Yarrowia lipolytica: one gene and its partner. The protein of the gene in region 2 purifies or fractionates together with the protein of the main gene of each other region. This does not show direct contact. Links are inferred from orthologs where the notes say so. Each region holds a gene or a part of one and is shown on either strand. Other genes may lie near its edges.

Region 1 (4,978 bases), on a different chromosome or scaffold from region 2:
TGCACGCAAGACTGTGGAATACAGCAGGTCCAGTCTTTAGTAGAACTCCGAACCAACCATCGCCCTGATCCGCTGAAAGGGTTTGAGCGATATATTATAGGAGCTTAGCGTTCTTTGATCCCAAGGCCACGGCGGAGTTAGTGTTTCCGAGTCGCCGTATTGTGCGACATTGAGTTGGGCGATATGCAATATGGGCTGCGAGGGACCCAAAAGGACAGGAACAAAGTATCGGCACAATGAAGACTGGAGGTTGTAAATCGTATATTAAACACAGAGGTCTTGCATATCTCATCTCATCGCTTCTAACAGTCATCTGAATAACTTTCAAAATGCTCGCATTCGTCCTACTGCTGACGATGCTGCTCGCAGCAGCGCTTGCTGACCCGTTCTCAGATAAAGACGCTTACAAACACAGCCCTCCATACTACCCTGCTCCGGAGATTGGCAGAGTTCCCACCGACCTGCGATGGAGAGCTGCCTTGAAGGTGGCCCAGGGTATGGTCGCTAACATGACACTGCTTGAGAAGGTGAACATCACCACCGGTACGGGCTGGGAGATGGGTCCTTGTGTTGGAAACACTGGTACCGTCGAACGACTGGGTATAAAATCGCTGTGCCTTCAAGACGGCCCTCTTGGGATTCGATTTGCTGACCTCATTACCACATTCCCTGCTGGTATCACTATTGCCTCTACCTTCTCTCGACAGCTGGTTAGAGAGCGAGGTGCTGCTATGGGACGGGAGAATAGACGCAAGGGAGTGGATATCACTCTCAGCCCTGTGGTTGGACCACTGGGAAGACATGCTAACGGAGGTCGAATCTGGGAGGGCTTCTCTGCTGACCCCTACCTTGCTGGAAAGCTCGCCGCCGAGGCCGTGACAGGTATACAGGGCCAGAACGTCATGGCTGTGGTAAAGCATATGGTTGGAAACGAGCAGGAACATTTTCGACAACTTGGCGAGTGGCAGGGATTCGGATTCAAGGATCTGAAGCAGCCCCTCTCTTCAAACATCGACGACCGAACTCTTAACGAAGCGTACCTTTGGCCCTTTGCTGATGCTGTTCGAGCCAATGTTGGATCTGTCATGTGTTCCTATCAGCAGATCAATGGCTCTCAGGGTTGTCAAAACGCCCACATTCTGAACGGTAAGCTCAAGGAGGAAATGGGTTTCCAGGGCTTTGTCATGTCCGACTGGCTTGCCCAGCGAAGTGGCGTGGCGTCTGTTCTTGCTGGTCTCGATATGAGCATGCCTGGAGACGGTCTTGTCTGGGCGGACGGTGTTCCGCTCATGGGATACGAGTTGACCAGGAGTGTGCTGAATGGAACCATTGATGAAAGCCGAGTGGACGACATGGTTACCCGAATCCTTACCCCCATACTGTATCTCTCAATTACTCCGACCGACCCCAACTTCAGCTCTTGGACCAACGACACTACTAGCTACAAGTACTACGGAGCCAAGGCTGGTGGAAACGTCACTGTTAACCGACATATTGATGTGAGAGACCAGTACACTACCAAGGCTGCTCTTGATGGAGCAAACGCTGCGCTTGTTCTTCTCAAGAATGAGAAGAAGACTCTTCCTCTGAACCCTACCAATATTGGAAACCTCAACATTTTCGGTATTGGTTCTAAAACCGGCCCACTTGGAGCTGTCTGTGGAGAAAATATGCAGTGTAGTGATGGCGCCCTTATTGAGGGATGGGGGTCCGGTTCCGTCTACCCTACCGATTATCAATCTCCTTACGACGCCATTAAGGAGAGAGCCTCCAAGGACAACATCACCATCGGAGGCACTACGCAATCTTGGGGTAACCTGTCGAACGTTGAGATCCTTTCAGCTGCTGCCGACGCCAGTGTCGTCTTTGTTCTTTCCGACTCCGGTGAGAGTACTGGTATTGTTGACGGCAACATTGGGGATCGAAACAACTTGACGCTGTGGCACAATGGAGACGAGGTTGTCAAGGCTGTGGCATCTAAGAACCCCAACACTATCGTTGTTGTTACCACTGTCGGCCCTGTGAACCTCGAAAAGTGGATCGACAACCCAAACGTCACTGCCGTGCTTCTCACTGGACCCGCTGGTGACTTTGGAGGAAGAGCTGCAGCCTCTATTCTCTTCGGCGACATCGCCCCTTCAGGAAAACTCCCTTTCACTATTGCCAAGAATGACACCGACTACATTCCTCTTACTACTAAGATCCCTGAAGACGGCCTTCCTCAAGACTATTTCACTGAGGGTACTCTTTTGGACTACAAACGGTTCGACGAGAACCAGGTGACTCCTAGGTTTGAATTTGGCTACGGTCTGTCTTACTCTAACATTACGGTGGAGAATCTCGAAGCCCGGTATGCTTTCCCTAGCATTCCTGAGTTCTTGCCCACTCCCTTTGCCCCTTCGAACCCCAACAAGCCTAAGAACGCATTTACTCCTCACGCCAATGAGTCCGTCTTCCCCAGTGACATTGATCCTTTGAACAAGTACGTCTATCCATACCTGAACGATACCTCGGAGATCTTCTCTAACGAGACCCATTATCCCTATCCTGAGGGGTACTCCAGTGAGCAGTCCAACAGTACCAACATTAACGGCGGGGCTGTCGGAGGCAACCCTGCTCTGTGGCTCTCTGCAGTCTACATTGTCCACAGCGTGTCTAACTATGGTCCCTATGATACTGGAGTGGTCACCCAGATGTACATTGCCTTCCCTCAGGATAACGACGATCTTAAAACCGCTCCTAGACAGCTTCGAGGATTCGAACGGTCCGAGCTCAAGGTGGGAGAACGGCAGGGAATTCTATACGATGTTCAATGGCGAGATCTCGCGGTCTGGGATGTCAAACTTCAGAGCTGGCGGGTCCAACGAGGAGAGTACAAGGTTTACGTAGGCCACAGTTCGCGAGACTTTGTTCTGACCACCAGCTTCACTCTCAAGTAGGATTCCACTTGAGAGTGAATCACTTACATTATTAACCCTTCAGCTTCTTATTTAGATTCCTTTAGATTCCTTTAGATTCCTTTAGATTCCTTTAGATTCATTAATTAATTCATTAATTGTACTGGTATGTGTACAGTAGCCGAAGTGTATAATTATTTGTAAATTATTGAGGTGATGGAGATTGAATGTCGCCTGAAATGTATACAGACAGCTCCATGTAACAGAACTACACAATTCACCTAAATACATAAATGAGACCTGCCGAGATGAATTGCTTTAATAAGTATAAACATTTTATTGTTTACTCTCTTGAATACTCTCTCCACAGTACAAGTGAACTGGTGGCTATTTTCTGCTTCCAACACTTGAACCTTGCCTCTCTAACTTAGTTGACGATCATGTCCACTATTACTGTAATCAATAGTATGCAGGCTGTATCATCACACATTGAGTTCGCCACCACCAACCACTTCAGCATCAGTCCCTCACCACACATACACAAATCACAATGAGCGGCTACGACAGAGCACTTTCAGTATTCAGGTGAGTATTTGCACACGAAAGTGCCACACACAATTATCGATTGATTACTAACACAGTCCCGACGGACACGTTTTCCGTAAGTTGAACAAGACATCCAGGTGGCACTAACGTTCACAGAGGTGGCAACAGTCACAATCTCGCCCCGACGTCAGCGTCGGTACGACAGGATAGTTGGGTTTCGTTGGATCTGTCCACGTCTACTGCCATTGCGATTCTTGCATCTGTTGTAAGGATGGCGATGGACGGTGGCGATAGACAGACACCCCAACGCCCAACCAGCAAGAGACAATACTAACAACAGAGGTGGAGTACGCCTTGGAGGCTGTTAAGAGAGGAACCGCAGCCGTCGGTGTCAAGGGCAAGGATGTCGTCATTCTGGGATGCGAGAAGCGGTCTGCTCTCAAGCTCCAGGACCCTCGAATCACCCCCTCCAAGATCTGCAAGTTGGACACTCATGTGTCTCTGGCCTTTGCCGGTCTGAACGCCGACGCCCGAATCCTCGTCGACAAGGCCCGAGTTGAGGCTCAGTCTCACCGACTCACAGTTGAAGACCCCGTTTCCGTCGAGTACATCTCCCGATACATTGCTGGTGTTCAGCAGCGATACACCCAGTCAGGTGGTGTACGACCATTCGGTATTTCTACTCTGATTGTTGGATTCGACCCCAACGACAAGGTGCCCAAGCTGTACCAGACAGAGCCCTCTGGAATCTACAACGCGTGGAAAGCCAACGCCATCGGTAAGAGCTCCAAGACTGTACGAGATTTCCTGGAGAAGAACTACGAGGAGGATATGGACAAAGCCGCCACCATTCGGCTGGCTATCAAGAGTCTGCTGGAGGTTGTCCAGACCGGAGCCAAGAACATTGAGATTGCCATCTTGTCTGCCGACAACCCTACCGAGGTTCTGAGCACGGAAACCATTGCTGAGTACGTTGCTGAGATTGAGGAAGAAAAGGAGGCAGAGGCCAAGAAACAGAAGCCTAGCCGGGATTAGGGGGTGCCGGTGTATATGTAGTCAGATGATGTAGTCATAGACCTAATGATGATGTAAATGTTTTAATTTGCGACAAGATGCGTTGAGCGCACCAGTAGAAACAACTATATAATGATACATTGCTAATGATTTAGACGGGTAATTGGATTATCTACGATACTTGCACTGTTTATATTGATTGCTTTTTTTGGAGCTTCAACAGTTGATCTGATTACTATAATTACAAGTATAAACCATCACTCATATTTGTCTAACCATTGTCTAACTAAACTTCTGTCATTCCTCACAAAGAGATACAAGTACAAGTACTTCACACCCATGAAATAGGAGATATTACACACGTTATCAATATATAGAACAGTTAATCATACCCGGTGTTTTAACAACTCCACTTAAATCCTACCTCCAATCCTCTCCCCTCCCCCTCCTATCACTGTCGTGTGATTACCCATCGGTGTATGACGGCGTGCAGAAATGTGAAATTTAAACTCATCACCAAC
Region 2 (7,933 bases):
ATGTCCCCTTGCTATCGTCTTGAAAATCGACATTTGAGTCGTGTGTCGCTTGCCTGTCACCGCGGAGGATGCGATATCACGTGATATACTGTCGCACACGCCCCGGATCACCATGCTCAGGTCTTTATCCGTGGCCTTTTGGGCGAAATCATTCCGATTCACCGTTTTTTCGAGCTGTTTGAGCCCCTCCTCTCGCTCCTTGACCTTGGTCGACTGCACCCGGGCTGTGTTAATGTTGGTAGAAAAAAGTGCGCCGGAAATACTCACTTATAACCACAGCTAGACCCTCCATCTTGTTGTAGATGCCTGTCGAATGTGTTACCAGTGCCTCTAAGGTTGATGATATGCATGTAGGTGTATATTTTGAGTTTGTCAGTGGATAAGGGGTGTCTTGTAAATAACGTGATTTGTGTGAGCTATGAAGTACAAGGAGATATTATCATGTCAACAAACGTTATATATCCTAGGCTTTTAGATATCACTCTGATCTGAGGGCTTTTAGTAGAGATTGAGTCGTATCTCTTGCCATGTAAATTTTACTTGACAAATCTAAGTAAAGTTACTGTTACTTGACAACTTAAATTTTATGTTATTATAAATAAAATAAAAATTGAAACTTGACGCAAAATATAGCAATCGACCAGACAAGCAACACTAGAGCAAAAAGTGCTGGAGCAAAAAGCTGGAGAAAAAGAATCGCAAGAGACTCTGAACTCCGATACGGGGAATCGAACCCCGGTCTCCACGGTTCTCATTATGAGAGCGTGATGTGATAGCCCCTACACTATATCGGAAATGGTAGCGTTAATAGCCCGACGTGGGGCTTGAACCCACAGCCTTGAGATTACTTACTAATAAGAGTCTCACGCTCTACCGATTGAGCTAGCCAGGCAATTGCTGAAAAACTGGTTATTTTAACCTCCGCGATTGTAGCTACAAACGTCACGTGATCTAAAGTAAATTTGTTAGACGCTAAGTATTATTTGTTTACGTGATGTAATCTGGTTTGAAAGGGCGGTAATATTCCATAATGAAGCAGATTGAAAAGTGTATGATAAATGTGGGGGAGAGAAAAAGGCTCTTGTACTTGTAGCTCTTATTTTAGTGTACTTGTACTTGTTTTTCAAGTCAGAATATCTTTCTGTGAGTTTGCAAATGCACCTATAAGTAAACGCTTGCAGAAGAATTCCCTCAAATCTGATTGAAGTAAATGGGAATAAATAATCGGACTATGAATATGACTGGACACATATGTATTGAGGTTCTGGTATTTAACTATCACCAGGCAATTTTCTCATTGTCTTTCTAGGGACATTCTTACTATCCACCCTACCGTGGCGTAAGACTCCTCTGTTGGTTGATACTAGAAGCCCAGCACTGCATTAAACTTCTACTTGTTAATAATTCATTCCATCATATATATTCCCCTGGTACCCAGTCTCGTTAGAATTCTTCTTCCCGTTGATGACTACAGACAATGCTTCTGCCGCGGAGTCTTCCTGAATGACTGTCTACAGCCATTGTATGTAATTCATCAAAAGGGACTATCCAGCATCAAGCTCGATTACTGTCAATGGTGAGCAAGAGTAGCCTCCTGATTCACAATCTAGGACATATACTCAAAGCTCCGCCGTGAATGCCGTCTATTGTCGTACAAATTCGATATGTCAGTGGCTTCATACTGACAATTTTTGACTCTGCCAATTAGCTAGTATTCTTAATCGCTTGTCTGGCCTTCAATGCCGTACTTCTAGTAGCACGTGTCCTCGGTTCTGGCTTTTCGATCTTGGCTCTAGCGGACGCTGTTGACTGGGTAGCTGTAGATCCAGTTCGGCCCACTGCTGGCTTAGTAGTAGGTCTGACTTTGACAGGAGACGAGGTGGCCGGTCGCATTGGTGAACGCAGCGACTTGCCAGGGGATCGAATTGGCGACTTTGTGTTAAGCCGAGCGTCCAAATCCATGGGTGTGGTCATGCTGGGTTAGTTAATTTAATGTAGTGAATGGCCGTAAGTCACGAGGAGACAACAACTTCTCAAGTTGAGTTCAGAGGAAGCACTGGCTGAATGTACAAATACTGTACCTGTAGACAGATTGTGCAGCTGAGTAGTGATACATACAAACTGACATGTCAGAAACTCTAGACGTGTAAATATCATGTCAACCGCTTGTAGAAGCACTGTAGGTATCAACTTCCTCCTTCTTGAGTGACTTTCCCATTTATTTATTCCCAATTTCTTCTGATTTGACATCTTCATAATCAGACAAAGTCAGAAAAAACCAGGTATAATGACAATCCGCATAAAACTCCACCTTCTCCACCTTTCCTAACCACACTCACTCATGGGGAATTGTGAACTTGGGAATGTTGTGGAATCCCTGGCCGAAATTCAACTTGTTTGGCTTTCTGTCCTTGAGGGCTCCATCCTGCAGAGCTTGGACCTCCCGTAAAGTCTTGTTCCAGTACCGTTTGGGCACGCGGGTCTTTCTGATTTCAATTTTGGCGCGAACCGCCTGCGCAGCAAATTGATATTGCGACTTGAGTCGCTCGATTCTGTTGGTGACTGTGTTAATACCGAGTCTGTTTGTATGTTGTGCCCTCTGAATGGAGTCCCTATACTCACGTTCGAGCTGTAGGTTTTCAATGAGGTCGTTTTTCTGGACCTCAGTCAGCGGCTTGCGGGCCATGTTGCTAGGAAACTGGTCCATTTCCGTGGGCATAGTGAAAGTGGAAAATGTCGGTGATGTGTGTTGAGTGCTGTGTGCTGGTGAAGTTGTCATGCCGATCCTCTGTTTATCTACGTTGCCCCGGTTACGCTGGGATATATGATTAAGGTTATAATATCAAAACTTTATGTTGATTAGTCAGCAAATGAGGTGAGAAGATGAAAGGGCTTGGTTTGTGGAAGATTGGTTCCGTTGGAAAGAAGCAAAAAATTGAGAAACGAGTGACTCAATCAGAATAAGCTGACAAAGACAATCATTTTGATATACCAAAGTCTCTATATTGTATTTACCGACCGCATTTTACGAGGGAGATCTGATGATAATGGTCCCATTAGCTCAATATGACAATAGGGACATCATTGCTATGCGCCACAAGTGGTCCAGATGACTGTTGAGTAAGAAGATATAAAAAAAAACATAATCAAAATAGGAAACAATCAGCAGCTATGACTCTCAAATATCAAATTGCTCCAGTCTAGGACAACTTTTTTGAAGATTCTGTCTCCAACTAAAGCTAACTAATTAAACTCAGTATTGTTTAGGGCAACAGTTGAGCATTGCTACCCTCAATACTCTCCCATAACTCGACTTCCAGTACTCCGATCGGGTTTTTAAAAGAAGTAACTAATATATCCAACTTTTCCCCAAAGATAGTGCAAATTCCGCTCTCACCAGCCCAAATCCGCCACACTTGATATGGTGGCAAATCGCCTACTGTCCAAACTCTATCACCGCTGACGTCAGCACTCTGTCCCAACCACTATAACCATTGCCACAGATCACCACTCTACACACCACACAACAAGACACAACAGAAGCGCATCACGATGGTTTTGGAAGCAACAATGATAGTGTGAGTATTACCGACGGCCAATGATGTTATCCACACCCCGCTAACACAGAATGGACAACTCCGAGTTCATGCGAAACGGAGACTACACCCCCAACCGGTTCGATGCCCAGGTGGACTGTGTCAACCAGCTCTTCACCATCAAGACCAACCGCAACCCTGAGAGCGCAGTGGGTCTGATGAGCATGGGCGGCCGAGGTCCTGAGGTGCTTGCCACCCTCACCACAGACCACGGCAAGATTCTGGCCGGTATCCACGACACTCATATCACCGGTGCTCCCCACCTCACCACAGGCATTCAGGTGGCCGCGCTGGCTCTCAAACACAGACTCAACAAGCTGCAGCGGCAACGGGTGATTGTGTTTGTGGGATCGCCGGTCGAGGAGGACGTCAAGGCACTGGTCAAGCTTGCCAAGAAGATGAAGAAGAACAGCGTGGCGGTGGACTTTGTCAATTTCGGCGAGGAGGGCGAAAACACAGAGAAGCTGGAAAAGTTCATCGAGGCCGTCAACTCAGGCGACAACTCTCACCTGGTCACCATCCCCCCTGGCCCTCATCTGCTGTCAGACATTCTGCGCAACTCTCCCATCATCAAGGAAGACGACGACGGAATGGATACTTCGGGCATGGGCGGCGCTCCTGGCGGCTCCAACGACGCGGACTTTGAGTTTGGTGTGGACCCCAGCGTGGATCCCGAGCTGGCTCTGGCGCTGCGAATGTCGCTGGAGGACGAAAAGGCCCGACTGGAGAAGGAGAAGGAGCAGCCCGAGAAGCTGGATTCGGTTAAGGAAGAGGACGTGAAGAAGGAAGATGAGGATGCAAGTGGAGAGGACAAGGGTAAGGACAAGAAGGATGACGACAAGATGGATACGAGTGCGTAATCGAAGCACGCTTGAAATATGTGAAGCACAATTGAGAGGCGACTAGGGCGACTGAGCGCGATGCGACGAAGGAATTGGTAGACACAGATCATGTGTTATAATCACAAGATCGACTTCGTCCACCCTGCACTAATCCATACGCACCTTAGAAGTGCAGCCCTAGGATAGGTAGGAATCAATGATATATGAATGCAAGTTCTCTGAGTGCAAGCACGAGGGGAATTGAGGTGGTGTGGTGTAGCTGTGAACATGTAGATGCTGTGTATCTGAGCTACTCTGGTTGTTTTATCGTGGTTGTGATGGATTGGATAATTAGCTTGCTCATTAAGGGATGCGGGGCTGTACCTTATCTGCTGACACCGTTGGCGATTCTCGATGGCAGGAATATAATCATGCTCTTCCCAGTTCTGTCCGAGGTTTATATGAGTTATTGTATGTAGAATCCATTAAACATGTGTTTGAGGAGGAAATGTCCTCTATCAGAAGAAAATTGTAGTTATGCGTACCACCAAGAACATCAATGGATAGCCTTTGACGGATCAATTGATGACCTGAGATCTTCATATAGAAAGAGCTATTTGGATTAACATGAGGTGGGCCCAAATGCCGCTGTTGTCTCTTCTGTCAACTACAAGTACCAGTACACAAGAGTAGGATCAGAGCTTTGATCTGTACTTGTACAAGTAGTAAGAGGGAGGGGATTGTGATTCATACTAACAATATGGCTTTCTATACTCACTAATTAAGTCTCCATTCTTGTGCCATAGCTGGAATCTTTTATATGAATCCCCAGAGACTATTTCTTCTACTAATTGATCAGAAGAGGGATTGTTCTAACAAAGGTCCAAAGCGGAGAGAGTGACAGATGTTGGTCAGGTCGTGCACTCGAGATTGATGTTGTTCAATACAACGCTAGAACTATGGTTTTATTGCCCTTTCAAAGTCCTCTATGGTTCATCCTACAGTACAAGTACAGTACAGCCGATGGTAACACTTGGATACACTGCACGATGCTCAGTCAGCTGGCAGTACAGTAGATACAATTGAAATAACTATACTACATTCTCCAGAGTATCAACACTAGTGCAACAGCAATGTCTGCCTATAATGTAATACAGTAGTACACAGTATGGTGCAGTAGCTCTACGAGTGCTCGTGTATACAATACTGTACCAAACAGCAACCTCTGGCTCAACAGGTGACTGATAAAAACAAGCAAAAGATCATGGAGCTCGGCAATTGACTCCGCCATGAAGCGCTTATATTGGTTTCAGGGTCGCTTACCGTCTCTAATTATAAAAAATACATATATTAGTCAAAGCTACATGAAAGCACGCCTAGATCCTTAGACGCGTTTCAGCTGAAGGAAGACAGCCACCTAAGCATCTACTTGTTCAAAAGTTGGAATCGCTATTTCTGTGACGTCAATCGACGGCAACCAAACAGCGAAAGTCTCCGTGGAATCCAGACAGTCGTTTCTTTCAGTCATTGGTCCAGGCTTTTCTTTTGCCAACTCTCTGGCTGTAAAAGGACCGTTCGTGGGCCTCTTTTGGATACAAAGAAACGCCAAGACCTTAGAATTACAGTGCGTGGGAAGCTAGTAGTCTCAGACCTACACTCAGTAGGTTTCATCCTGGAATGTGTACAAGGAACTACAGGTTGACCTGATGGCCCCTTGAGGGATAGTGTTGTTTTGTGCCTTGTGGGAGGTCCAACTTATCAGTTGTCTGTCGACGTTAGCATCTCTTTCGTCTCTCCCTAATTCCTGTGATCATCAATGCCGGGATCTGCGTATGGGCTGTAGGCGCATCAGATAACCCATCAGATTATATTTGTGCACACGAACTCTAGGTCGCTCGGGAGCGCATCAGATAATTTCGAACCTTGGTGCAAGCGTAGATTTACGAAGCAACCCTTAAGACCAGGGTAACAGTGTGGAATGTGTGTAGAAATTCCAGCATGAGTACGGCGTACTTACCCCTTACATGGTAGCTACTGTAGACAGTGGAATGCCAAATCTCAGGGACCTTGGCTAGAAGATGTCAGACCACTCGGTTTGTACGAACGGCACCCCAAGTTTGGTAGCATATCAATAAGTGTCGATCATGTCTATCATCTACAGTAATGTCTCTTCCGGTTACCGGAAAGGCAGAGACAGCCCCGTCGGTAATGGCCACAGAAAATCATTAGTTGGTGTGTAGCTAGTTACACTTGTGCTTAATGGTGCTCTACTGTTCATGACCCTCACGTCCAGTACGAGTAGTCGCAACATTTCGGGAACAATCCTACTTGTAGTTTACATGGCAGGCACCCATTCGTACGGCACACCCTGGTCCACCGGTCTAGCTCAACTGTTTCGATAGTTCAAATTTATGATATCCAGAGGTACAGTATAATTAGCTTGGATGAAAAAGTGAGGCGTTATTTCGTCTTCATTAGGGATAGAGGCAATAATCTCAAAAAATCTGCCCAGTAAATCCAAAAGCACATGCCAGTACCAACCATTTGAATACGAGAAGTCAACAAGAACAAGCGAATACAGCTCTACACAGACCTGTGATAGGACACTGCTCTCCTCAAAATAACCTTGGCATCGGCTGCACAGACTAATTTGGAGGCGTTTTGAAAATCTTGCTTGCGAGTCATTTTTTCGCCAAGAACCATGCAGCTGCAAAATTATCTGATCGGTAATTTCTTTGTCTGGACCGTGCGTCTCTTTGTTGTGGTATGCAACTGGGCAAACTCTGATGGAATTGATAACTCGAACCACGCAACTGTACCGCTCAAAAGAGGCCGTTGAGCGGAATATATAAACAGGACAGCTTTCCCTGAATGGCCCTCTCATAAACCACAAACCTCAAACACTCGTTTATTACTCTCGTTAACATGAAGTGGTCTACTACAACCCTCCTCAGCCTGTGCCTGGCCTCCTCGGCCGTGGCTGTGGCCGTCCCCTTTGCCCAGGACGGCGCAACCTACCAGTGCCATGCCACTTGTGGTAACATGATTCTGGATGCCCGAAAGTGCGCCGACGGTGACTCCTGGAACAGAGACTGTCTGTGTGACAACGGCACTCCCTTTGAGCAGGCCCGAGACCCTTGTCTGGAGTGTGGCTCCACTCTGTGGAACGATTACGGCAAGTACCTTGAGCCTCCTCTTGCCTTCTGCGGCTTCCCCACCAAGCCCGTCGATCCTAACGCTGCCTCTTCTTCTGCCGCCCCTGAGTCTTCTGCTGCTCCCGAGACTTCTTCTGCTGCTCCCGAGACTTCTTCTGCTGCTCCCGAGACTTCTTCCGCTGCTCCCGAGACTTCTTCTGCTGCTCCCGAGTCTTCCGCTGCTCCCGAGACCTCCGCAGAGGCCACCCCTGCTACTACCGAGCCTACCTCTGCTTCTCCTGCCTCTTCTGCCGCTTCTGCCACTCCCACTTATGACCCCTGCCACCCCATTTGCGGCAACCTGATTCTCTCTGCTCGACGA

What was found. The genes of interacting proteins can lie anywhere in the genome.
Region 1: the proteins of YALI1_D04772g (region 2) and YALI1_B18811g purify together in Saccharomyces cerevisiae (affinity purification with mass spectrometry, with the first as the bait; 3 studies listed by BioGRID). This does not show direct contact. The link is inferred for Yarrowia lipolytica from reciprocal best matches to the Saccharomyces cerevisiae genes RPN10 and PRE6.

What each region holds. Positions count from the first base shown.
Region 1 is NC_090771.1:1,879,932-1,884,909, reverse strand, and holds YALI1_B18811g (uncharacterized protein), read left to right. Parts: upstream 1-3,447; coding exon 3,448-3,482; intron 3,483-3,538; coding exon 3,539-3,558; intron 3,559-3,783; coding exon 3,784-4,478; downstream 4,479-4,978. Other genes in the region: YALI1_B18845g (uncharacterized protein), read left to right, coding at 330-2,939. UniProt on the Saccharomyces cerevisiae protein: The proteasome degrades poly-ubiquitinated proteins in the cytoplasm and in the nucleus. It is essential for the regulated turnover of proteins and for the removal of misfolded proteins.
Region 2 is NC_090773.1:473,805-481,737, reverse strand, and holds YALI1_D04772g (uncharacterized protein), read left to right. Parts: upstream 1-3,570; coding exon 3,571-3,578; intron 3,579-3,627; coding exon 3,628-3,824; intron 3,825-3,869; coding exon 3,870-4,448; intron 4,449-4,512; coding exon 4,513-4,589; downstream 4,590-7,933. Other genes in the region: YALI1_D04814g (uncharacterized protein), read right to left, coding at 1-224, 268-292; YALI1_D04789g (uncharacterized protein), read right to left, coding at 2,336-2,779; YALI1_D04725g (uncharacterized protein), read right to left, coding at 7,298-7,933. UniProt on the Saccharomyces cerevisiae protein: Multiubiquitin binding protein.